Linked DNA regions of Oryzias latipes. The main gene of each other region encodes a partner of the protein of the gene in region 3 in a complex. Links are inferred from orthologs where the notes say so. Each region holds a gene or a part of one and is shown on either strand. Other genes may lie near its edges.

The links. Proteins that work in one complex are often made in the same cells at the same time.
Region 1: exosc3 (region 3) and exosc1 share a complex: the UniProt entries of both Homo sapiens proteins name them as parts of the RNA exosome core complex. The link is inferred for Oryzias latipes from reciprocal best matches to the Homo sapiens genes EXOSC3 and EXOSC1.
Region 2: exosc3 (region 3) and exosc6 share a complex: the UniProt entries of both Homo sapiens proteins name them as parts of the RNA exosome core complex. The link is inferred for Oryzias latipes from reciprocal best matches to the Homo sapiens genes EXOSC3 and EXOSC6.
Region 4: exosc3 (region 3) and exosc2 share a complex: the UniProt entries of both Homo sapiens proteins name them as parts of the RNA exosome core complex. The link is inferred for Oryzias latipes from reciprocal best matches to the Homo sapiens genes EXOSC3 and EXOSC2.

The regions. Positions count from the first base shown.
Region 1 is NC_019859.2:28,376,911-28,382,963, forward strand, and holds the start of exosc1 (exosome complex component CSL4), read left to right. Parts: upstream 1-2,614; 5' UTR 2,615-2,691; coding exon 2,692-2,719; intron 2,720-4,552; coding exon 4,553-4,668; intron 4,669-4,934; coding exon 4,935-5,009; intron 5,010-5,763; coding exon 5,764-5,852; intron 5,853-5,919; coding exon 5,920-5,953; intron 5,954-6,018; coding exon 6,019-6,053. UniProt on the Homo sapiens protein: Non-catalytic component of the RNA exosome complex which has 3'->5' exoribonuclease activity and participates in a multitude of cellular RNA processing and degradation events.
Region 2 is NC_019864.2:25,017,759-25,023,095, forward strand, and holds exosc6 (exosome complex component MTR3), read right to left. Parts: upstream 2,736-5,337; 5' UTR 2,357-2,735; coding exon 2,079-2,356; intron 1,875-2,078; coding exon 1,334-1,874; 3' UTR 1,140-1,333; downstream 1-1,139. Other genes in the region: protein FAM192A, read left to right, coding at 1-78. UniProt on the Homo sapiens protein: Non-catalytic component of the RNA exosome complex which has 3'->5' exoribonuclease activity and participates in a multitude of cellular RNA processing and degradation events.
Region 3 is NC_019868.2:3,162,801-3,168,778, reverse strand, and holds the start of exosc3 (exosome complex component RRP40), read right to left. Parts: upstream 3,901-5,978; 5' UTR 3,869-3,900; coding exon 3,626-3,868; intron 1,305-3,625; coding exon 1,155-1,304; intron 377-1,154; coding exon 225-376; intron 141-224; coding exon 1-140. UniProt on the Homo sapiens protein: Non-catalytic component of the RNA exosome complex which has 3'->5' exoribonuclease activity and participates in a multitude of cellular RNA processing and degradation events.
Region 4 is NC_019870.2:12,829,417-12,835,213, forward strand, and holds the start of exosc2 (exosome complex component RRP4), read right to left. Parts: upstream 3,440-5,797; 5' UTR 3,201-3,439; coding exon 3,079-3,200; intron 2,880-3,078; coding exon 2,778-2,879; intron 2,651-2,777; coding exon 2,605-2,650; intron 2,480-2,604; coding exon 2,390-2,479; intron 2,300-2,389; coding exon 2,234-2,299; intron 2,141-2,233; coding exon 2,072-2,140; intron 907-2,071; coding exon 730-906; intron 1-729. Other genes in the region: ric1 (RAB6A-GEF complex partner protein 1), read left to right, coding at 4,400-4,540. UniProt on the Homo sapiens protein: Non-catalytic component of the RNA exosome complex which has 3'->5' exoribonuclease activity and participates in a multitude of cellular RNA processing and degradation events.

The sequences.
Region 1 (6,053 bases), on a different chromosome or scaffold from region 3:
GGCACACATCCACTGACTGTTACAAATACAAAATCCAAATCTTTTCCAGCAGAACTCATTCATACAGGTGAGCATCACAGTGTCATAATACCTATACCCGTGTTAACAGAAGAGGACATATAATGCACAAAAGGTTTTACTCAAACAGGTACTTCTACATTGTCAGATATGTGCTCCATTACAAATAAGGGTACTGATGAAAAGGTATTCAAGTGAAAGATAAAAGTAATTCTAAACTATTACTGAAGGACCCACTCCAATAAAAATGGTGTTTCCAATATTTTCTTGTAGCATGTTTCTCATAATGGAAGTCATATGTAAAACAACTTAAGATTAAAACTTTGTTTCTGAGTATTTATTCAAAATGTGATGGATAAGGAGTAAAAAGCCATCATTTGAAAAGGCTCAGGTTTGTGACACAGTAACTGGCCAAGTCTCCCCTCTCTACTAAAATTCTCAAGCATCCACTTGCAGACAATAGATCCAGGTACGTTTTTGTTTTCCTCATCTGAGATGATATCTAGCTCCAAACAGTATGGCTAGAAAGCTCCATTATGGATTAAGGAAATGTATTGAAATTTAAAGAGCAGGGGAGTTTCTGACTGGACTGTTTAACAAGATCTTGGAGAGTGAAAAGATGTCTAAGAAATGGAGAAGAGTTCTATTTTTAAGAAGAATGCCGACGGCAGAGTAGTAGAAACTAAGGGGAATAAAGAGTCAGACAAGGAAGTTATGATAGTGGAAGCAAGACTGAGAGTAGAAGTGAGCATTTGTGAGAAATAGTATGGTTTCATGTACAGAAATAACCACAGATGTAATATTTATTTTGAGGATGCCTCTGTAGAAAGACAGAGAAGATCAGAAGGAGCTGCCTTGAGTCTTTACAGATCTAGAGAAAGACTATGACAGAATATAGGGAGAGGTTGTTGGTTCCACCTCCTGTGGTTTGGATGAGGAAGTCAGGAGTGGCGGAGAGAGAGTTGAAGTTCCTCAGGACTGTTTTACATTGAAGTGAATGGCTATGTGATTTCTTAAAAACAAGACATTTTCAGAACCATCCTAAATATGACAGTGGGTGGACATAAATCAAAAATCCATACAGAAGAAGTTTGTTCTGAATTTATTTAAAAGGATACTAAATTAGTTGAAACCGTTTCAAGAAGGTTTTTATCAAAATAATTGTGTGCTATTTTTTTTAGAAAAACTGGAGTAAAGATTGATTTTATTTCCCTCTTATTATTTTCACTCATCAGGTTTTTCCTTTGAGTAGGACTACACAAAAGAAGATCAAACACGATCCCAATGACGACATCTCGCTCCAGCCAAATGAAATATCATTTTTTCCCTAATATTTGGAGGACTACAGATTTCTTAGTCGCATTGGTACGTTTCTCACTACAGTATTAAAGTTTGCAGCACTTCTAAGGCATTTCTCAAAACAGATTTTTCAAACTGCAAAACTCGATGCACAACCTGCAAAAGCGAGTCACTCTTTCAGAATGGAAAGTCAAATTCTGGAAAGGAAGTCAGTAGTTAAAAAATGGGTAGTTCAAGCTGCAAAAGCAAATCCCTTAATCAAAGTGGATGAATTGATCTTCAAAGTCAAGTATTTATGTCAGTGAAAGTTTCAGTGTCATCAAAATAACAAGTTATGACTCCAGCATCTTTGAACAATCAAGTCAAAAGGTTTATACATGTTTTCATTGAGACAGATTACTCTAAAAGTGCTTCCCAATACCATGTGAGACAGCATTACATACCACGAATGGCGTTTAGAAAACTGGAGTTTAATAAAAAATGAAGACACTGTATATGCACTTCTGCTGTAGACTCACAAAGGTCTTTTTTTAAATCTCTTTCTGCATGGTTTTCCTGCAATCCAGGCCATAGTTCATATGTTTTAACAGAGGGGAGTGGGAAGGGTGGGTTGGGTTTTTACTGTAATATTGTGTGTTTTCTGTTTTTAATGCTAAAGCGCTTCGAGCTGCACAAACGCATGAGAAGCACTATTTTATAAATAAAGTTTGATTTAATTTGATATGACATGGTTTACCACATGATCTTCAAGTCTTGCCCCATACTGAATGTAGTGACTGACCAAAGCTGTTTGTCTGATGATCATTACACAAACTAAATGACCTCCCTCCCAAAGAAGAAAAAAAAAGAAAGAAAGCAAGAAAACAAAAAAAGGGGAACACCAGTACTTAGTTTGACAGATTATCTCTGCTCATTAAGTCACAAATTCTCTACTTTGAATGGACATTAAATTTGTTGTTCAGAGTTGTTGACATTTGCAATATTACCGTTTGTGCGCAGAACAAAGTCATTTTATTTGAGCAGAATTAACAACTTTGTCATTTATAGAAATAATTCTAAATTAAACTTGCCAACAAAACCCAAAAGACTAATTAGAAACGAGAAAAAAATCGTTTTTAAAAGCTCTTTTTTATGCAGCCCACTTCTAATAAAAAAGTTTTTGTTAAATTGTATAAAATATTAAATTACTTCCAAATAAAATTATATATATATATCGATACAAAATTAACCAAATTATTTGTTTACTGCTACACCGTCACGTTTCATGCCCATGCGCACCTCTTTCGGACACACCCTCCCACTCTGAATTAACCAATCAGAGTCGCCTCGCGCCCGTGAAAAGAGCCAATTGAGTGGTGCGCGTCTTCCGCAAACATGTCTCCCACGAGGCTGTGCGTTCCAGGTAAGTCTCCGTAAAAACCGCTTTTAGCGGTTTTCTATTGGTTTTGTGTGTTGTTTTTTTGTTAATCCCGTTTGTGAGTCTGTCACTGGGACGCCAGAAAATGGCGTAAAATTCTCCGTAGCGGTATAACGTGTAAATGTTGCTGCCATAGCTACGCGCGATTTAGCTCGTCTTTGCGCACTCATCGTTTAGGTAGTAGTAAATTCGTAGATTTGCGTTTGTGTGCATGCTTATATTTCCCTTTTCTTACTTAGTTTGGGCGCGTGCTCGCATTTTCTGAGCTCCGAGACACGTGAGGGGGCGGGGAAGGCTCGACACGTGAAGGACTGTGACTTTTCCCACCCCCGAAAACTATGCAGTCGATCCTTAGGATCACGTGGTTATAGCGGGGCCCCATGTGGTCCCCTTCAGAAGTTCGGACGGGTACAACATTTTAGAATATTGACTATTGAAAGCTGCGTCATGCATCAGCAGAAATGTGGTGTTCGTCTGAAACAGCTTCTAGTCAGTTAAGTCCTGCTGTCTTTGTACAACAGTTCATCATCATTCACTACTGTGTCAAACTTAAGGCCAGGGGGCCAAATGTGGCCCTCCGTGTTATTTTATGTGGCCCGCGGGAGCATGAAAGTTTTTAATTTCTTAAAATGAAATGTTTTTTTAGTTGATTACATATTATTTGTGTAGCTGCAGTTGTAATTATACAATGTTTGCCGGTCTTGTGTGTGTATGCAGACAAATTGTTGTCATCAAACCATCAGTTGGATGCAAGGCTGTGAGCAGCCTTTTATTGTAAAATGTTACACGTGTAATTAATCTTCTTTCTAGCTCAGTTTTAAGTTATTTTTCTTTTTTCACTTGGACAGTTTGAGCGTGGGTTTTAATAAGCAGACAAAATGTAGAAGGATTTATGCTAAATTAACAAGCAAACATGTTTTCTATGCAACTGTAATTGTCACTATAAAACGTTATATTTAATAAATGAGTTATTTAACATTAAGGAGTAGTTACGTCTATCTTTCATTACATTTGGTTACATGTATAAGTTATATCTGGCCCTTTGAGGGCAGCTGTTATGCTGATGTGGCCCTCAGTGAAAATGAGTTTGACACCCCTATACTAATCAGTATTTACCTGTTTAATCAATTTTGAAAAGACGTATTGAAACTGTAGTTGGAAATGTGTCTTTTTAATAGTGTAAATATTGAAACAACAAAGCATTTAATGTTAAACTAGGAAAAGGTGAACATCCTGAGGAACCTTTTCAATAATCGGATCCAATATACATCTTGAATGTTATATTTGTCATTTAAACTAATGGCAGAATAAACAAATGTATAATTGCAGATGTCATGCCCCTCCACACACATGGAATGGACTCATAAATGAACCTTTGAATCTGAGCTGTATTTTACATACTTAGAGCCTGAAGATTATTTCACTAAACATTCAGTTATATATATATACTCTAGCTCCCCTTCCAATATACTATTTATGAAATCTCTATAATATTTATTTCCTTGTTGGAATTCAAAAACAACAATGTAATAAATAATATTGTTTATTGTTTGCTGTTTTGCATATGCATATGTATAAAGGAGCTTTGTGCCTCTGCTGTGAGAAAAACGAAGCAACTATTGCAAAGTTTGCAATAATTTCAAATGGAAAATTATCAATATTGAAAGAAAAACAAGAGGGGGGGGGCAGACACATGACAGGCTCTGATTGATTGAACACACCTGATCAGATAATCTGCTCTAGAAAACAGGTAAATCCTGTGGTTTTACTGTGGTTTGGCAGGAAGCCCCACCTTCATTCTGACCATCTGTGTCTCAGGTGACAAACTGTGCAGCGTGGAGGACTGCATTCTGGGAACTGGAGTGTATCTGCGGCACGGCTACATCTACTCCTCTCTTGCAGGCTACGTGCTGAAGAAGAATGAGGGGGAGCAGGTGAGGAGGGGTGGATCTAGCAGAGTTGACTTGTTGACACATCTTCCAAGTCTGTAGTTAAGGGGATTTTCCTTTAAAGAGAGAGAGTATTTTGTTTTAATTTTTTTCAAATTTGGGGACAAACTGTAGTTCATTTATCGTCCAGCCTTACCATTAGCCTGACTCCACCCACCCTCTAATCCAGAGGGATCAAAGTTTGGGATGGAACGGGGTGATGACGAGTCTGGTCCGCACTGGTTCTCGTGCACGTTTGTGGTGTTTTACAGTTACCTGTGATCTCTGTGGTCAGAGAAACAGAAGTCCAGCTGTTGCCAGATGTGGGCGCCATCGTCACCTGTAAGGTAGGAGGGGGGGCTGACACAGGTGGGACCTACACTTTTAGCCTCATTAGGAGATTTTTCCAGGACTTTGTCACATTCATGGTGCTTGTTTGGTAGCGGAATTGTTTGCAGATTAGAAATATAGATTATCATAGATAATTAATTAAATTTATTTTTTTAAACAGAAGAAAGTGCGATGATGACAAAATACATGTGGTAAATGGATTCAGTATTCCTGCCTTTGTCTTTGCTGTTTTCCTGCATGTTTTTAAAATCATAAATAAATAAAAACATCATAACTAAACTCACAGCTGTAGACTCCCTTCTAGTCTAAAGCAGCTCCACATTTGAAACTGGGTTGCATTTAGCATCACAGTTTGACATCTTTTCTGTCTGTTGCTGAACCACAGGGAGACTTTCAAAATCAAAGACGTGTTTGTTTTCAATACCTAGAACAGAGAGGAGGACTGGTGTTATTACGCCATTTGGAAGCGGTTTCACACTCACATGTGTGAACAAATATTAGCTCCTATTTAGACTGATTCTACAAGAGAAAAGCTTTTACAGCACTTATGTAATCAAAGGTTTTTCCAAAGCTTTAGCTGACACCAAATTGCAGATAAGATGATGTTTTCCACATAGTTGGTTAGGTTTTGTGGGACAGATGCTGGACTTCTCCCTGCCAGAGAAAGTTGTTTGAATCCCAGAAGCTTCTAGTCTGAATATGTGAGTACATCAAGCACACATTTTAATTGTCAGATCCTTCATGTTACAGGTGACGAGCATCAATTCCAGGTTCGCCAAAGTGCACATCCTGTATGTGGGCTCCACGCCGCTCAAGGACCTGTTCAGAGGAACCATCAGGTGAGGCAGAGTGGACGCAGCAGATGTGGCTGTTTTAGTGCTGTCTGACGCTCTTCTGTGTGTTCAGGAAAGAAGACGTTCGCGCCACAGAGAAAGATAAGGTGAGCGAGATCCGTTTGGCCCGGCGCCGTCCGTCCTTGCTGGTCTGACGTTGAGCTTTGTTTAGGTGGAGATGCACAGAAGCTTTAGACCTGGGGACAT
Region 2 (5,337 bases), on a different chromosome or scaffold from region 3:
GACAGCAGCTCGGACAGCGAAGGTAGCGTGGACGCAATCATGTCGCCGTACCCGCGGCACAGCAGGGCCTACAGATAAAAACACACCAACAGGCGTTCAGAGCGGGCGACCCCGACACACAAACACTGACCTCACACACACACACACCAGTTTGGACCTGCAACTCAACCACATCTGTTCATTTGTTTGTTGTGTGGCTCTCAAATCTTCCTTCGATCACATCTCACAGTTTAATCGAGCCACCAATCCCGCACTGCCTCCCCCCCGACGACATCCTGACCCCCACCCAGTCACGGCGGCTGCAGGCTGAAGCAGCGGTGACTGACAGCTGCGGAGCGAGGAAGGCTGCGTTAGACGGTCATGACTCTCACCTCGCAGCTGTGAGCAGCAGAGGAGCGCCACGCGCGCCTCGCTGTCGCGTCGGTGGAGTTCAGAGTCAGGAGGGTTTGGAAACACGTTTTTCTTTCTTCCCCCTAAATGTGTTTGTTCTGGAGAAATGTTCAACTGTTTGCTGCTGTCTTAGAAAATAAAGTATTCACTGTTGTTCTGGGAGATCTGTGACATTTATTTGAAGCAAGAATGTATAAAAAAATGTATTTTTTTACGGTGTATTTATTAGGAAAGACTAGAAGGAAGAAAACTATTTAGTAAAACAGGAAAAAATGGAATAAATATTACAAACTAGCGATGGGCAAATGATACTGAGGTAGTGGAGCTTGTGTCACTTTTCCTGAATTGGAGCAATTCAAAGCGTAGTATCAGATCCTGAATGAAAACACGGGTGACACATTACCATATAATATCCAAGCTGAGTTTCACTTTGGAGAACAAATAGGAGTTTGGTACTTTTTCTTTAAAGAAAATGTGCAAACAAATGCAATCTGACCTTCTGTATTATACATTTCTGTGATAAAATGCTAACCAAAATACAAAAAGACTAGGATTTTTTATTTTTTATTCTGTATTTTTATTTTTAAAATAACAAAACAGACATTTGCATTAAAACATTTTCTTTTTTTAAACCAGTCATTCTCAGTTTTTCATAATTTGTTTTCTTTTTTCTCCCCTATAGCATAAAGAGCAGGAAAAACTTTGTTTACCTTATTTAGATTTTTGGGGCATGGGGGGAAAAAAAAAAATCAACAAACTGACTCAAAGTTTTGTCCTGCAGGCAGACGGTGGAGAAATGAATAAATAGGATCAATCTGTTTCTTAGATCAGGGGGACGCTGGCGGATCCTTTCACCTCAGATCAAGAAACAAGGTGAAAAACTGTTTTGAATTTTAAAGTTCTTGTTGAAGACTCAGACAAAAAATAGTGTTGACTTTGCCTCTCAGCTTTCGGGTGGTGGGGGTTGCGCTCTGCGCACAGCCTTAACCAAAGCCTGCTGGATTACTGGGTACAGTTTGTAACATCCCTCAATGCAGGTCCGAATCCCTGCCGTCAGAGTCTCTTCAGCCATTTCTCCATCCGACTGCAGGCCGGAAACCTGGTTCAGGCTGGGGAGAAACGCCACGGTGAGCCCTCCTTGGTGTTCGCTGCTGCTCCAGTTGCTCTCTTCTGAGTAAGTGGGGTCGACCACGTAGGAGGAGCCATCCTGTCGGATGGAGCAGCCCAGCACCAGGTCGTACATTTCAATCCCCGCGTCAGCCAGTGCCAGGGAGGCGCACGTGATGGCGTGGGCCTGAACCGAACCGCTGTTCTCCAGGACCATGACGTTGACCTCAATCTGGGAGCGGGGGTATTTGTGAAGGCACAAGGCCGGCTGCAGACTCTCCTGCAGCATCAGGGAGAAGTTCTTGTCCTGGCTCCCCTGGATCCAGGAGCCCCTCTCCGGACAGGAAAACGGGGCGAAGCGCATGTCTGTGGTCAGTCTGGTTAAGCAGATGTGTTGATTTATCAACTTTTGACTTTAAATGTATTGTTTAAAAAATTAAACTGATTTTCTATTTTACTAATTCTAGCAGAATCCAATTACAGCCTTATCACATAGTTATTTTTTACTTTGTTATATCATTGAATGCAAACATATTTCTATTAGTCTTCCATTATAAAACTGGATGAAGACCACTACATACCGTCCACATTTCATGTCAGTCTCATCTTTCCGCTCCGTCTCTCTCGGGCCGTAAACGCTGCACAGCAGCTTGGTGTCTCCAGCTTCTATGTACGCGGAACCTTTAGCTTGACTCACCAGGCCGCAGCGCACAAACACCGGCCGGACGTCCACCTGGTCCCGCTGGCGGCCGTCCGCTCGGGCCCCATGCGACGGGGGAACCACAGAGGGTCTGCAGTCAAACAAAGACGGGCTTTGAGACACCTCGGGCCCGCGTACACGTTTGGTGTCCGTCGGCATGGCGATCTCTTCTCACGTGAACCGAATGAAGCGGGTGTTCAGGGATCGGTCCGTCAATAAATCTGTCCCCACAGCAACACGGTTCCGCTTGTTCCGATAGTGTTGTCATGTTTCATCATCTTTATTAATTTGAATTTATTCATAAAAAATAAATTAATTCTGATGGTATTATTTAATTTTCAACATATTTTATTTGTAACAGTAAATAAAATACACGCAATAGCTAAATCTTAGCAATTTAGTCAAAGCAAAATTCCGTTACGCCTTTTCTTTTAGCTAGAAATGCTTCGAATGTGTATAACTTTTGTTAGAAATTAATTATTCGTTGCACAACTAAAATAAATTGTACGTGCTAGTTGGCATCTGCGTCTTTTTCATTGCATCAACCACAGCAGAGGAGTTTGCACCACTAATGTGGCGGGCTCGGCTAAAACTGACAGCTTGGCTCGACCAATGGGATTGAGCGTTCGCCGGCTTCCTGCACATCTGAACCAATAGGTGGCGTCCGTGGGCGTGTCCATCGCCTCTGCACTTCCCTTCTGAGCGAGCAGCGTGGACTGAAGCGGTGTTTTGGGGAGCTGTGACCGGTTCGTTTTGTGATAACAGCATCTTATGTGAGTCAAACTACTTGCTTGGGTAAATGACACTCACTGTGTTGATTCGCCGGTTAGTTTTCCCCTCATAGTTGACTTCCAAATTCACTAGCAGGGACGGAAATTTCAGCGGTTGCTTTTGACTGGCTAGCATAGCAGTTTGCTAGCGTCAGGTCAGTTAGTGCATTTTGATTTGTCAGATTTAGAATGAAAGGTTTTCCAAATAGTTTTACTTACCTTTGCTTCGAAATATAGTATAGTTTTAGGGCCAGTTTGAAAGAAATGATGACTGTCAGTATAATGGCGGTTTACGACGCTGAAGTTGGCTTCCGATTCACAGCTTCCGATTCGCGAAGGCACAAAAGAAACATTCCGCTGCATTTTTCGCATTAAGATCACCCAAAACCGGGTCCTGTTCAAAAACCGCTGGACCTGGACTGCTCAAACCTGGATTAAATTATACATTAGATACTAAAGAACACATTAAATATAGTTTCTGATTTGTGAAACCTTCCTTTGATTTGTGAAAATCTGAAATAGATTGATGTTTATCGCATTTTACGCACTGAGTCCACCTTAGACCAGGTCCTGTTCAAAAACCGCAGGACCTGGACTGCTCAAACCTGGATTAAATAATAATTTAGATAGTAAAGAACACGTTAAACCCAGTTTCTGATTTGTGAAACCTTCCTCTGATTTGTGAAAATGTGAAATAGGTTGATTTTTTATCCCATTTTACGCACTGAGTCCACCTTAGACCAGGTCCACTGGACTCAGTGCGTAAAATGCGATAAAAATCAACCTATTTGAGATTTTCACAAATCAGAGGAAGGTTTCACAAATCTGAAACGGTGTTTAATGTGTTCTTTAGTATCTAATGTATAATTTAATCCAGGTTTGAGCAGTCCAGGTCCAGCGGCTTTTGAACAGGACCCGGTTTTAGGGTGGTCTTAGTGCGAAAACTGCAGCGGAATGTTTCTTTTGTGCCCTCGCGAATCGGAAGCTGTGAATCGGAAGCTAACTTCAGCGTCGTTGGCGGTTTGTGGTTTGAAAACAGACGATTTCTTCAGGCTTCATTTCAATTTGCTGACACAGAAACTGTTGCCAGTTTGACAAAGAAACCAAGTGCAATAGCATTAACGCTTCCTCAAGGCTCTGAAGAGTTGGAAACCGTAAAATGTTTTTAAAAAATATTTACATGAGCACATAACAACAGACGTAATTAATATTTTATTGTCATTTTTTTTTTGGCTATTCCATGTGTTTAGATCAGTGTTACCTGACCATCAATGCTGCAATTGCAGAATAAATCTGCATTTGGTTTTTCTGAATCAGTCTTGATATTTTTTTTTTTTTTTTTATGATTTTGTGGTTTCATCATGTTGGTTTGTGTTTATTACGCACGCCTTACTAAAGGTAATATCCCATGATTGTACTAGTTTTTCCACTTGCTCTGGCTGCTGGTTACGTGTTTTGATTACCATCTTCTTTGTTCTGTAAAGCCGATGGGAGGTTTATTTTGTTGAGGAGTTTGTTTTTAGCAGAGCTGTCAGATGGGAATTCTCTTCTTCAGCCCATTTCCACATGTTGGTGTTTTTGTGGCGCTGCGGTTAAAGGAATAGAAAATGCAGTTCCAGTTTTTTTTTTTTTTTTATTAAATAGTTTTTTCATTTTGATTACAAAAGTTCCACATTTTGTTTAACTTAAATCGCTTGTTTTGTAAAACAAGAACAAAGTAGATTTTTGAATGGAAATAAATAAAACTGAAAACCTTTTTTTACTTGATTGAATTTAAGAATTTTGAATTTATTAATTTAATTGTGATTTAGTCAGGACTTTTTGACAGACACCCAAACCTAGTCAGGATTCTAAAAAAAAAAACAACAACCTGTAATGCAGTTTTAACCTTAACTTTCTTTAAATGTCCTCCATCCTGAGATAAATGCAACAAGAACATCTTAAAAACATCAAAAACCGAATGTGAGTGGGTCTTTAAGTGTTTATAAAGTATCTTATAGCAGCTTGAAGCTTTCAGCAAATCAAACAGAGCCCTTCATGCATTTAACCAATCAGATGGATCTTTATGTCGTCAACCAATCGAATGGAGCCCTTTTTTTGTCTGGCTCCCATGTAGAAGCTGGTCATTTGGAGTATAATTTTATGTTTAAACAAAACTGCTGCCGTGAAATGGCAATAATAGTTTTTGCTATTTGTTAACGTATCATAATACATGATTGTCCCCGCAATATTGATTACTAACAACAAAAAAGGTTTCTTTATATCACGCAGCCTTACTACAAAACCGTATGTTTACATATTTTGAGTATTTGGAGGTTGGATTTCAGCTTCTGGCATATTTGAAGGATTGAATCACTTATCTGAATATTA
Region 3 (5,978 bases):
TCTGCAGCAGGTTCGCCACTATCAGGGTCTGCTGGACGCTGGACGCCCTCACCCACACCCGGCCGTTCATGCCCACCACCAGCTCGCATGGAAAGAGCTGCTCCAGGTCCAAGCGGATGTCACTGTTGGGGGCGAGCAGCCTGAGGGAGGGGGTGCAAAAACCACGTTAGATAACATGGAACCCATTGTAGAGTCCCAGGTGCGGGGAGGGGGGGGGGAGTTACCTTCTGACCAGCCCCAGCGAGACTTTGATGAGCAGACCTCCTGCTCCAAACGCCCCCATCCCATTGGCTCGCCCCGACCCGTCGATGCACACCAGCTCAGGCTCCATGTCTTTGTTGGCGATGAGGAACTGAGCAAACACCAAGTCGCCCACCTGCACAGGTGAAAGAAAGGGGCGGAGCTTCAGGTAAGCCTGAAGGGATCTGACTGAAGAAATGCATCAAAGATAAAGATGAGCAAGAGGAGGGATTAACATCTTCATCCCTCTCCTCTAGATCAGTGGTCTTCAACCTTTTTAACGCCATGGACCCGTATGACGTCACACTAAGTTTTCGCAGATGTGACGGACGATTATTGCAGCAACACGATGAAGGAGGAACAGACACCTGACAAGACGAACCCTGAGGTTTTATTTTGGCACGCATGTCATTGTACATCACACAGGTGTCATCATCCTCTCCCCTTTCCACACTCATGGTGTGAAAAAGAAGTACTGTCTATTGAATGTAGCTTTTTTTTTGGAAGTAGAAGGCTCCTCTTCCGTCTCCTGGCTGGGCATTTTCACCTTGGTAAAGAAACTTTCCAAAGACGTTTGTTTTTTAGTCATTTTGCTAGTACCTGGTTTTATTTTAGTGGTAACCTATCATGTGACAGAAAAGAGAGCCTTGGCCTGCGCCAGGAGTGACATTGACGGATGGAACAGAGAATCTGGCAATTTTTCAAAATAAAACATCTGTCAGATTCCAAAATAAATAAAAAGGAAGCACTGTAAGTTATTTATTCTGTCTGTACGGCCTGGGGGTTGGAGACCGCTGCTCTAGATGGACTCAGATGGCAAATAAAACGGTCCTTGCAGTGCTGAGCTCCACAGGAGTGGCTCCTTGGAGTGACTGCACACAGCAGACTGCACACAGAGCCCCACCCACACTCACCTGGACGTTGGGTCGGTTTCGCTTGGTGGCTCCTTCAAACGCCAGGTAAGACAGAGACGCCAGCTCGCTGCCGCCAAAGTCCACCCTGAAGGTGTCTCCTGCTCGGGCCGTCACGATCCCGATCACGGTCTCCCCTTTAGTGGCGACATACTGAGGAGAACAAACCATTGACTATTCGAGAACTGGACTGAAGGACCCCTCCCTCCTCATGCTCCAAACAGGAAGAACCCGCTGGCTCCAAGAAGCCAAAATCCCATTGACATAACTTCTCACATTGAATGTGTGAAACATTTGACAGATTTTATGTAGCCTGCTTTCAAGTGATAGGGGTGTGACCTTCAAACAAGCTCACTCCTGATTGGCCACTATTTTTTATAAACCATTAGGTTTTCATCATCAGAACACAGTAGATTCATAAAGTCGTCATAAAATGTTCATATTTATTACCTTTCTATTTAGGGAAACGGGTGACGTCATATTGGCATCAGTGTTGGGAAAATGACTTCTAAAAAGTAACTGTTTACTTAGTGTTACAAAATTGTAATTAAATTACTTTACTCACCTATTTAGTACGGTAATTGCCTACCGGTTACTCCACTTTTTTTCCTCTCACATACAGATTCTCAAGGCAAAAAACAGTTTTCACAAACAAGATCCTCTTGTCATTCATATAACTTTATATTCAGAGAAATGACCTTGTGCAAATTTGAACCTGGCTCAAGACATAACCTGGTTTTATTAGAATTCAGACAACAATGTGAAAAAATACACAAAAAAGTTACAACACATGTGGTCTATAGGCCACTGCTCAAAGTGAGATGTGGAAACAAATCAGTTACGCCTATGATCACATCTGTCGAATCCACTCTTTTAAAAACACAAAGAATTATTTAATGCCTCCATGTTCATTTTCTCTGACTTAAGGTATTCCATGACAATGAGTTGTGCCTGTCTCTCTCTCTATACGTCTGGCGTTTGTGCAGTTCTGAGCAGCTGCAGGTCTACTGGACCAACACCACCCCAGCACCCACCTGCAGAGTGCATTGAGCGCCAACTCACGCTGACCAGAGACGCAGTCATGTGCAGCACAGAGAATAATTAAGTCAAAATGGGTGAAATAATATAGTAAACGCCAAGATCCGACTTTAGAGATGTTTCACTGCCAACCAACCCATCATCAGTACACGGGGCGGTTCTCTACTCTGCTGCTCACCTGCTGCTGCTCGGGGAGGACAAGCATCTCTGTTTGTTTCATCTTTGAGCCAGTAAGCCATTTGTATGGGTGACGTCACACTACGATTCTCCTAAGGCAGTGTTTTTCAACCAGTGTGCCGCGGCACACTAGTGTGCCGTGGGAGATGGTCAAGTGCGCCGTGGAGAAATTGCCCTCATTAACTGATCTAAAAACATTTTCCATCTCCAGGATTTCAGCTCTGTGTTCATCCAAACAGGCCCTGATAAAACACTGAGTAGTTAGGAATATAAAAGATCTTAAAATTACTTTTTCTTTGTGTTTATTTAATTCTATTAAAGAGATTTTGATAAAAATCACGGTACCGCGATTTAGCTGCAGCTCTAACTGTGTAAGGAAAAGTCCCGCCCCTTTAACTGTCTCCGCCAATCATTCTTGAAGGCTTAATCACATGTCATCAGTCTGACCAATCAGAAGTGCTTAAAGTCTTCACTTCCTTGTTCTTAATTCTGCTGATAAAGTCGCTCAGTTCTAACAAATATACCAGCTAAAGACGAGCTTTAGCTGGTGGTTCATCTCTTAGAAAAAAACAGCCGCAAATTCCTGCTTTTTCTGCCACAATTATCACAAAAATTCACGTGAGATTGCGGGGGGGGGGGGCGCTGTCGATCAATACAGACCATGAATTTCTGCTTTTTTTTTTTTTTTTGGATGATGGTGTGCCGCGGGATTTTTTTCAGGGTTAAAGTGTGCCGTGGCTCAAAAAAGGTTGAAAAACACTGTCCTAAGGATCAATGGAACGAACGCACGCGGACACATTTATTCACAACAAAGTACATTATTTAAGCAAACACAAGTTTGCAAAAATGAAACTTGTGTTTGCATAAATAATCTGGGTCTAAATTGAAAATACGCAGATCATGTGTGGATTTTTTTAAATTCTTGGTTAGTTGAGTGCATCGAATCAAAACCCATATCTCTGTATCAGTCCATATGTTTTAATTTGATAAATAATTAATTTAGTTTATTTTGATGTATTAGCTTGACGCGTATTTGGTTTTTATTTGATTATACTTTGTTATTTGTAACTGATATTTTTACTATTTGTTATATAAAGCACTTGAGGTGGATTTCATCAGGAAGTGCTATCAATAAAGTTGTGTTTGAATGCTGGTTGTGACCGGACCGCTTCACATTAATGCTCTAAACACGTCTCTGGACCGCTGAACGCAGTTTGTTGGGATCTCAGAACCTTTGGTTCGGACCGGTCCGCTCTTACCCGCTTCTGCTGGGAATCGATCCAGAAGGTGAGCGGCGGTTTGTGCCGCAGCACGCCGCTCTTCATCACCACCAGGCGGTCTCCGCTCCGCCGCAGCCCTGGTCCACACACCGCGCGCTCCGGCTTCGCGCTCTCCGACAGAGAGATCGTTTCCTCTGCACCAAAGCAGAACTCGTCCCCCGGAACCAGAACCTGTCCAACTTTCTCCTTCAGAACGGCGAACATGCCTCCTGTCGTGCTCATGGTCGTCTTCTTCTTTTTGTTGTTTATATCAGATCCTTACTTTGCGCCCCCTGGTGACCAGGAGGAACAATAGCGCTTTCTAAATTATAAGAATTTTCCTGTTTAAAGGACACACCTTTCAAAACGTTTTGGATAAATCCAGGTCTCACCAAATTTCCTCTAAAATAATCGTCTTTGAAAAAAGGTAAAATAATTTTCTACAGAAACAAAAAGTAGTATAAAAATGTCTCAATAGTGTAACACACAGACACACCCACACACACGTACACAACTCAAACGATTTAGGAGCACTAAAAAAGACATGCTATGCCTGAACAAATGAAATATTCTTTTGAAATGCTTCATTCTTTACATATTTGCATGTCCTGACAACACAATAAAATAAAAATAGTAATGGAAATTAAAACTATTCGGCTATGGATGTCTGGATGTGTGAACATTACATGCTGATCCAACTTCAATGTAATTTCTTTGAAACAAGTCAAAATGAGGCTCAGTAGTGGGCGTGGCCTCCACATGCCCATATGATTCCCCTGCAATGCCTGGGTACGCTTCTGATGAGGCAGCGGGTGGTCCTCCAAGGGATCTTCTCTGACGCCTGGACCAAAGCATCTGCTAACTCCTGGACAGTCTGGGGTGCAACCAGGAGTTAGTGGATGGACGAGACATGATGTCCCCGATGTGCTCAATTGCATTCAGGTCTGGAAAGTGTGCGGGCCAGTCCATGACATCATTAGCTTCGTCTGGCAGAAACTGCTGACACTCCAGCCACATGAGGCCTAGCACTGTCTTACTTTAGGAGGAACCCAGGGCCAATCGCACCAACATGCGGTCTCACAAGGGGTCAGAGAATCTCATCTCAGTACCTAATGACAGTCAGGCTACCTCTGGTGAGCACATGGAGGGCTGTGTGGCACTCCAAAGAAATGCCGCCCCAAACCATACCTGACCCATTGCCAAAGCGCTCATGTTGGACAATATTGCAGGCAGCAGAGCATTCTCCACCGCATCTCCAGACTGTGTCAACAGTGACTATGCCAAGCTTGGTGTTCTACAGCAAATGTCAAATGTCTCGCACGGTTTTGGGCTGTCAACACAACTCCCACCTGGCGACCTCATGGAGTCTGTTTCTACCATTCTGAGCAGACGTGCACATTTGTGGTCAACTGGAGGTTATTTTGCAGGCCTCTTCCCGTTTCTCCTTGCACAAAGGAGGAGGCAGTGGTCCTGATGCAGGGTTGGCCCCCCTTCTATGGCCTTCTCCACATCTCCTGATGTACTAGCCTGTCTCCTGATGGAACTTCTACACAGCAAACCTGGCTACAGCTTGCATTGATGTGCCATCCTGGATGAGTTGCACTTCCTGGGCCACTTCTGTGGGTTGTAGACACCGTAGAAACCGTCAACCAGAAAACATAAGGACAGAGAAGTTGTCTGTGGTCATCACTTGCAGAACTACTCCTTTATTGGCGGTGTCTTTCTGATCACCTACTATTTCCACCCATTGTCTATTACACTTGCAATAACTGGAGAAGGTGCAACCTCCTTTTTATAGTTTTAACATATCTTTCTTATATTGTCTTATGTCGCAGTTTAGTTTTTATTTTTTTATTCTTAATTTAACTTTTTATACCACCGGAAAAAATTGCACTGTAATTTCGTTGTACATGTACAATGACAATAAAGATATTTCTATTTCTATTTCTACACTTATAAAAGAGGGAGGAAATTGAGTGTAGTGTGGAGAGTTGGATTACACAGAAGTGTGATTGAGTTTGTATATATATTTATGTTGAGAAATGAGGAGGTTCTCAGCCCCCCCTCTGACCCCACCCGTCATCTCTGTTTGTCTGGCAGTTAACACTCCTTGTCTATTGGTTCTCAGTGTTCTATTTCTGAATAAAACCCTGTTTTCTCATCGTGGTTTATGGATCACAGAGTCCTAAAGTTTGGACAAAATGGACACAAGAGACATGGCGAGGTCGCATTTCAGCTTTATTTTACAAAAACTCAAAGGAAAGCTCCTGAAGGTTCTCCTCATAGTGTCTGTTTGACAGGAGGACTCCAGGAAAAATACTCCTTACAAAAGACCACTCAGGAAGTGTGAATG
Region 4 (5,797 bases), on a different chromosome or scaffold from region 3:
ATCATTTTCAAAATGACTATCATTCAAAGACGATCTTAGTTTTGAGTTGATTTACATCAGCAAAGAACTGTGATTGAGGTAGAGTGAATATCAGTTAAAGCTTAAAGATTCACAACATTAGCTATATTACATTTTTTTTAAAAGCCTCAGCAACAATGAACAGAAAGGCGCAAACGATTGGTTAGAGCAGCCTCAGTCTTGGCAAGGGCTCTGAGAAAAACACAGGAGGCAGAGCTAGAGATTGCAGAGATGAAGATGCCGAGGCTTTCTTTTGGAGTTATGAGGATGGATAGGATTAGGAAGGAAAAAAAAATCAGGGGAACAGCTTGTATTCGATGTTTTGGAGATAAATGCAGAGAAGTAGATTGAGATGGTTTGGACACACTAAGAAGAGGGACAATGATGATGTTGGTAAAAAGATTCTGAGATTGGAGCTACCAGGAAAGAGACCTAGAGGAAGTCCAAAGAGGAGGTTTATGGATGTAATAAAGGAGGACATGAGGGTGATTGGTGTGAGGGGAGATGGGGTTAGATGGGGTGGATGATTCAATGGTGCAAAGAAAAAGATACATTCAATAAGGATTCTTCAGATGACACAGCAAAAGCCAGAGAATGGGAATCAAAGCTAAGCCTCAATCAGTTAAAATATTTTTAAAACAATTAACACTTTTTAGATGACACTTTTTGATCATTTTGAAACATAAAATATTTATAAACCTACAAAGTTACCTCAAGACTGGTGTAGAAACCTCCAGCTTCCTCCTCTTGTTGTCCCAGTGTGGGATACAACCACACAAAGCCGTTATTGCCAAGGATAACAGATGCACCGCATGGAAGATTATGGAAGTGACTTTTCTGCCTCTTGATCAGAGAAGGTGAAATTTGCACCAGCACTCCCTGACCCAGCTAACAAGAATACAGAGACCCAGAAAAGAAAAAAAATGATATACCGGTACCTATAGGCTACGTTCACACTGCAGGGCTTAATGCTCAATTCTGATTTTTTAGAAAAAATCCGATGTTCTTGCAAGGCTGTTCACATTTCCAATTAAATGCGAACTTTTGTGATTTCCTGTGTGACCGTGAAATGACCCAGAAGTGACCCGCATGCGCAGAAGAGTACTCAACGGGGAACGACATCACTCGTTGTTTGCGGAAGTAGCTAACGTTAGCAATGGATGTCAACTACAGTGTTGTCAACAGCGGAGCTCTTTTTGCAGTTTACATTTATTTTCAAGATGGAGCCAGCACAATTACAATCTTCTCATTTTAAGAAGGCATTGGAGCCAGGATCGTCTGTACCCACTGTGGTGGAATGGGGATGTGTATGTGCTGGGGCCGCGCGAGCACGTGTGTGTGTGTGTAAGAGAGAGGAGAGAGCACGTGCAGCGCAGCATTCCCTACTGCGCTGTGCGCATTCATGTTGTGTGTTACGGAGGAAGGACAACGATAATAAAAAAAGGCTGCTATTGACTCTTTATTAAACTGCTCTAGAGAATCTGAGGGTCCGAACGGGGAAATGAACGCCCAAAGGAGGATCCGCCTTCGGTCCCCCGCGCTTCTGACCACGGTCAGAAAGGGGAAAAAAAAGTAATTGCCAGGAAGGTTCAACCCCACGCTCGGCCATTTCGCTGGAATTTTTTTCAAAAAACCGCCCGGTTGCGATAAGAGCCCTCGAGTTTGGCCTGAATAGAGCTGTCACCCCAAATTTTAATCCAATCGGTGACCTTGCTTGCCTTCCAATGACTGGTCTCACCAGCATCGTCCGGCATGGTTGATGTTCATGTTCTTGTTCCCGCCTACTTCAACGCAGAATAATGACTTACGGGTCGGATACATGTGGCTTGGCCATTCAGACGGAGGTCGCATTTGAAAAGATCTGATCTGTGTCGCTCAGACTGTCATAAAAAGATCAGACACAGGTCGCATAGGGGCAGAAAAATTGGATTCAGCCTGCAGTGTGAACATGGCCAGAAACACAAATTTATTCAACATGTATAACAACAACAGGGAAACAGCTCTGTAAAATTTACCAAAAGGAGATATCAACATAGTAACACTGTGCACTTACTTTTCCATATTTTAAACTGCGAGTATGTAATGACAAGGCTCCATCTGAAAAAACAGACTGCACTTCTGCCTAAAAACAGTGAGAAAATACAGCAAAGTAGTCTTTAGTGACAAAAACTATGAGGGGGAAATGTTGGCAAAAAGACTAGAAAATCCTCTGTACACTTATGAGATCACCCTCCTGAAGATATTCTCTCATGGTCAGCTCATCTTCTGCTGATCTCCTCCTCTGTATAACAAAACAACAACAAAAAAGAGCATGCAGTTCAACTCATCCTGTAACGCTTCTCTCTCGTTAAACAACACAGTTCTGTCTCACCAGCTCTCCTCCAGGCAAGTTTACTGATGACAGCAAGAGGACAGAGTCCAGTCTGGAATTGGTTTCCACCTTCCAACGTTTCTGCTGCACCTGTATATAACCATCAAATCAAACAGATTGAAAAGATTATTAGCAAAAACAGATACAATGAATCCAACAACAAAAAAAATTGTTATCTCGTTTTGCCTTTTTAGAGAACAGTTGGAATAACTCACCTCTGTAATTCTGCCGACCACAACGTCTCCAACCTCGCCATTAAATCTAAAATGACGCACAAATGATCTTAAAGAATGTTTGCAAAAGTGGGGCTAGTCCGATCTGAATGGGTCAATCCACCAACCAATTCTATTGTTCATAAACATTGAAGATTTTTGTCCTTCACACTCACCTGGTCTTCAGTGGTCTGACACAGATGAGTTTGTCCACCCTCTGCACCTCTCCAGCAACTGAAGCTGTCAGCTTTTCTTCATCAACATAAGTGCCATGCCCCCTAGAAAACGACAAATTGTAGTTATGGTTTATTAAAATCATGTAAAGATGTAATTTCTTATCCTTCATCAGTATTCCATCAGATCAAAGACACATCTAAATAAGTTCTGGTGTGTTCTGAGTTTCTTTTTAGCATGTAGCTTACCGTACTACATCAGCGTGGTATCAAACACGTGTTCCAAAACGCAAGCAGAACCTACCTCATAAAACCTGTGTCCGAAGTGATGATGTCTCCGGGAACAACGAGATCCTTTCGGTCGAAAGCGGAAGCTGACAGAGACACCGTTTTCCTCACAGTCGGTAATCTCATATCAAGAGCCATGCTGTTACCGCAACTCTTCTGGTTATGGCTTCTTTCACACTCGTTTAAGTCAGATTTAAGTTTAAAAATGCAAAAAAAAATGGTGTACGTAGTTATTGAATCTTTGTTTTTGTTTTTAAATTAACAAATGATTACCCTATAAACTTGTAATAAATGCCAACCAAACAGCATATTATGCTAACACAAAACTTTCCTCCACTTGCTTCTTTGGCGTCTTAAAAGCGTGTTATAGCTACATTAGCACCTCCTTGTGGTATGGAGTTACTACTACAGTGTATCTTGTGCAGCACATCTTGAAATAATATCCATCCTCACAAATATTTATTTTTTATTCCAAATTAGAAAAAAATTCCGTTCTTTTTCATGCAGTTTGGCACCAAATTATTGTCCATTAATGTCACATTTGGTCTTCGATAAAAAGAAATCAGCTGAGTTCTGTTTCTTTTTTCGTATACTGTAACTTTATCATGTTGCTCACATTGCTATTTGCATGAGGTCATATTTATTTATTTAATTAAATATTTATTTATTTAATTATGAACAGTATGGGACTCCATATTTCTATTCTTTCTTTTTTTCATTAAAGAAATTAATGAAACTCCATGACAATACATTCTTTCTGGATGTCTTCTCACTTGACCACTAGGTGTCACCCTCGTGTCACGCAGCAGCCATTGTCACATAACAGAGTGGTGACGTTGGATGTCAACATTAAGCAAATTTCGTGCGGCTGACCAATCAGCGTTAAGATGGATAGACTCTTTGTAAAGATGGCGACAGTGAGGCTCAGTGGAGTAAAAACTGGACGCTTATCTCTTAATGAACACCACTGGTCCAGACAGCGTAACAACTGACAAAGCTCGGGGAGCAAAGCGGATTGGCCAGCATACTGGTACAGCGGGCACAATTTAGCGTTGCACGGTGTCGCGACGGGCCTCGCCGCTTTTGTTTTCGGGGACACCGCGCACCGCTCGCTAGCTTTAAGTTTGAAAATCCAATGCTAGCCCGGGGCTAGCCGTGGAGCTCAGTCGGCTGCTTTGGTATTTCTGTATGGAATCTGTGGATTAAACCTGCCCAGCGCCATCACCGGGCTCTTTAGTAGTGTTTTTGTCTCGACGAAAGCACTATGAGTCGCCCGTAGAGGCAACTACCGAGGATCTGGATTGCTGCGCTGCCTGCTCGAACTAAAGAGCGCCGTCATGTATTTTCTAACCGGTTGGCCCCGGAGGTTGCTTTGTCCGCTGAGGAGCGAAGAGGAGCCTTTCCAGATCCAGCCCAGCTCTCAGAGGTTTTACTTCGCCCTGGTGTCAGAAACCCAGATCAGCATCTGGTTCAGCCGGGTAAGTCGTGAAGTGAAGTGAACGCACGCGCTGCTCCAGCTGTCCCTGCACGAACACAATCAGGGGAGGTTCATTTAGTTTCTTTAGTTTATGCAGTCACTGTACGATCTTTATTAAAATAGTGACTCTGTGTAGGGGTCTTTTGATGATTTTGTTTTAAGTTTGTCTCTTTACGACCTGATGGTCAAACTTTACGACAAGCCGAAGCGTGTTTCGGTTTCCCCAGGTGTGTCGGCAAATACCTGTCCATCTATCGTGACGCTGACAGCTGACGACTGTTACACGTCAATACTCTTTGAGTAGGCCACATCACGTGGGGTTATTACGCACAGCCAGCAGAGCTATGTTCATCCTACAGAATTTTTTAAAAATATTTGTTAGTTTTTCATTGGATTACACCTGTTTCTCAAACACTAAGCACCTTTAAATTGCCTGTAAATTTCCCATAGGGCCTCTTTAGATGTCTTGTTGGCCTATTTTATTATTATTTTTGCACAATCTTTATGTATAAGACTGCTTTGTAACACCAAAGCAATAATAAATAAACAAAAATACATTGTTAAAGTTATCTAATATCCCTCTAGAGCAGGGGTCGGGAACCTTTTTGGCCAAGAGAGCCATAAATGCCACATATTTTGAAATGTAATTTCGAAAGAGCCATACAATAATGTAGTGTCCCTTTCCCACACTGAGGCACGGAGACTTAACCTCTTTTAAAGTTCTTTATTCCGATTACTGCAGACCGCAACAAACGCCGTACAATTAATTCAGCAACTCCTGAATCTCTCCCGCCGAGACGCTTCTCCCAACTTTATATTCCCCTGCTCCCGCTGCAGCCCCTCCCATTTCCCTTATTCGGCCCATAGCTGAACCCCATTGGTCCAAACTACCTAACAACAGGCTGAGCGACAGAACTGAGAGCCAATCAGATCTCTGCTTGACGCGTTCAATGAACTCCAGAACTTTTAACGCTGCCCAACAGCCATCCAACTCAGTCCGCGACAATTTGTTTAAAACTAAATATACAAATGAATATGTGCATTTGATTTAATTTCAACATTTTTAAAGTAGAATAAGTCTGTGGATTCTTTTTAATAACATTGTTATTCTGTTGCTAATAAATGATGAGTATTTCTCGTGGTAGTTTTGCTGATGGTCTAGTCTGGTTGATACGTGGTGAGTTTCTGCTTAATGCAGGCGTTGAGACTTTAAACGTGATCGTAGGTCTGAATGTTCTGTAGATGTGAGAAAGACTGA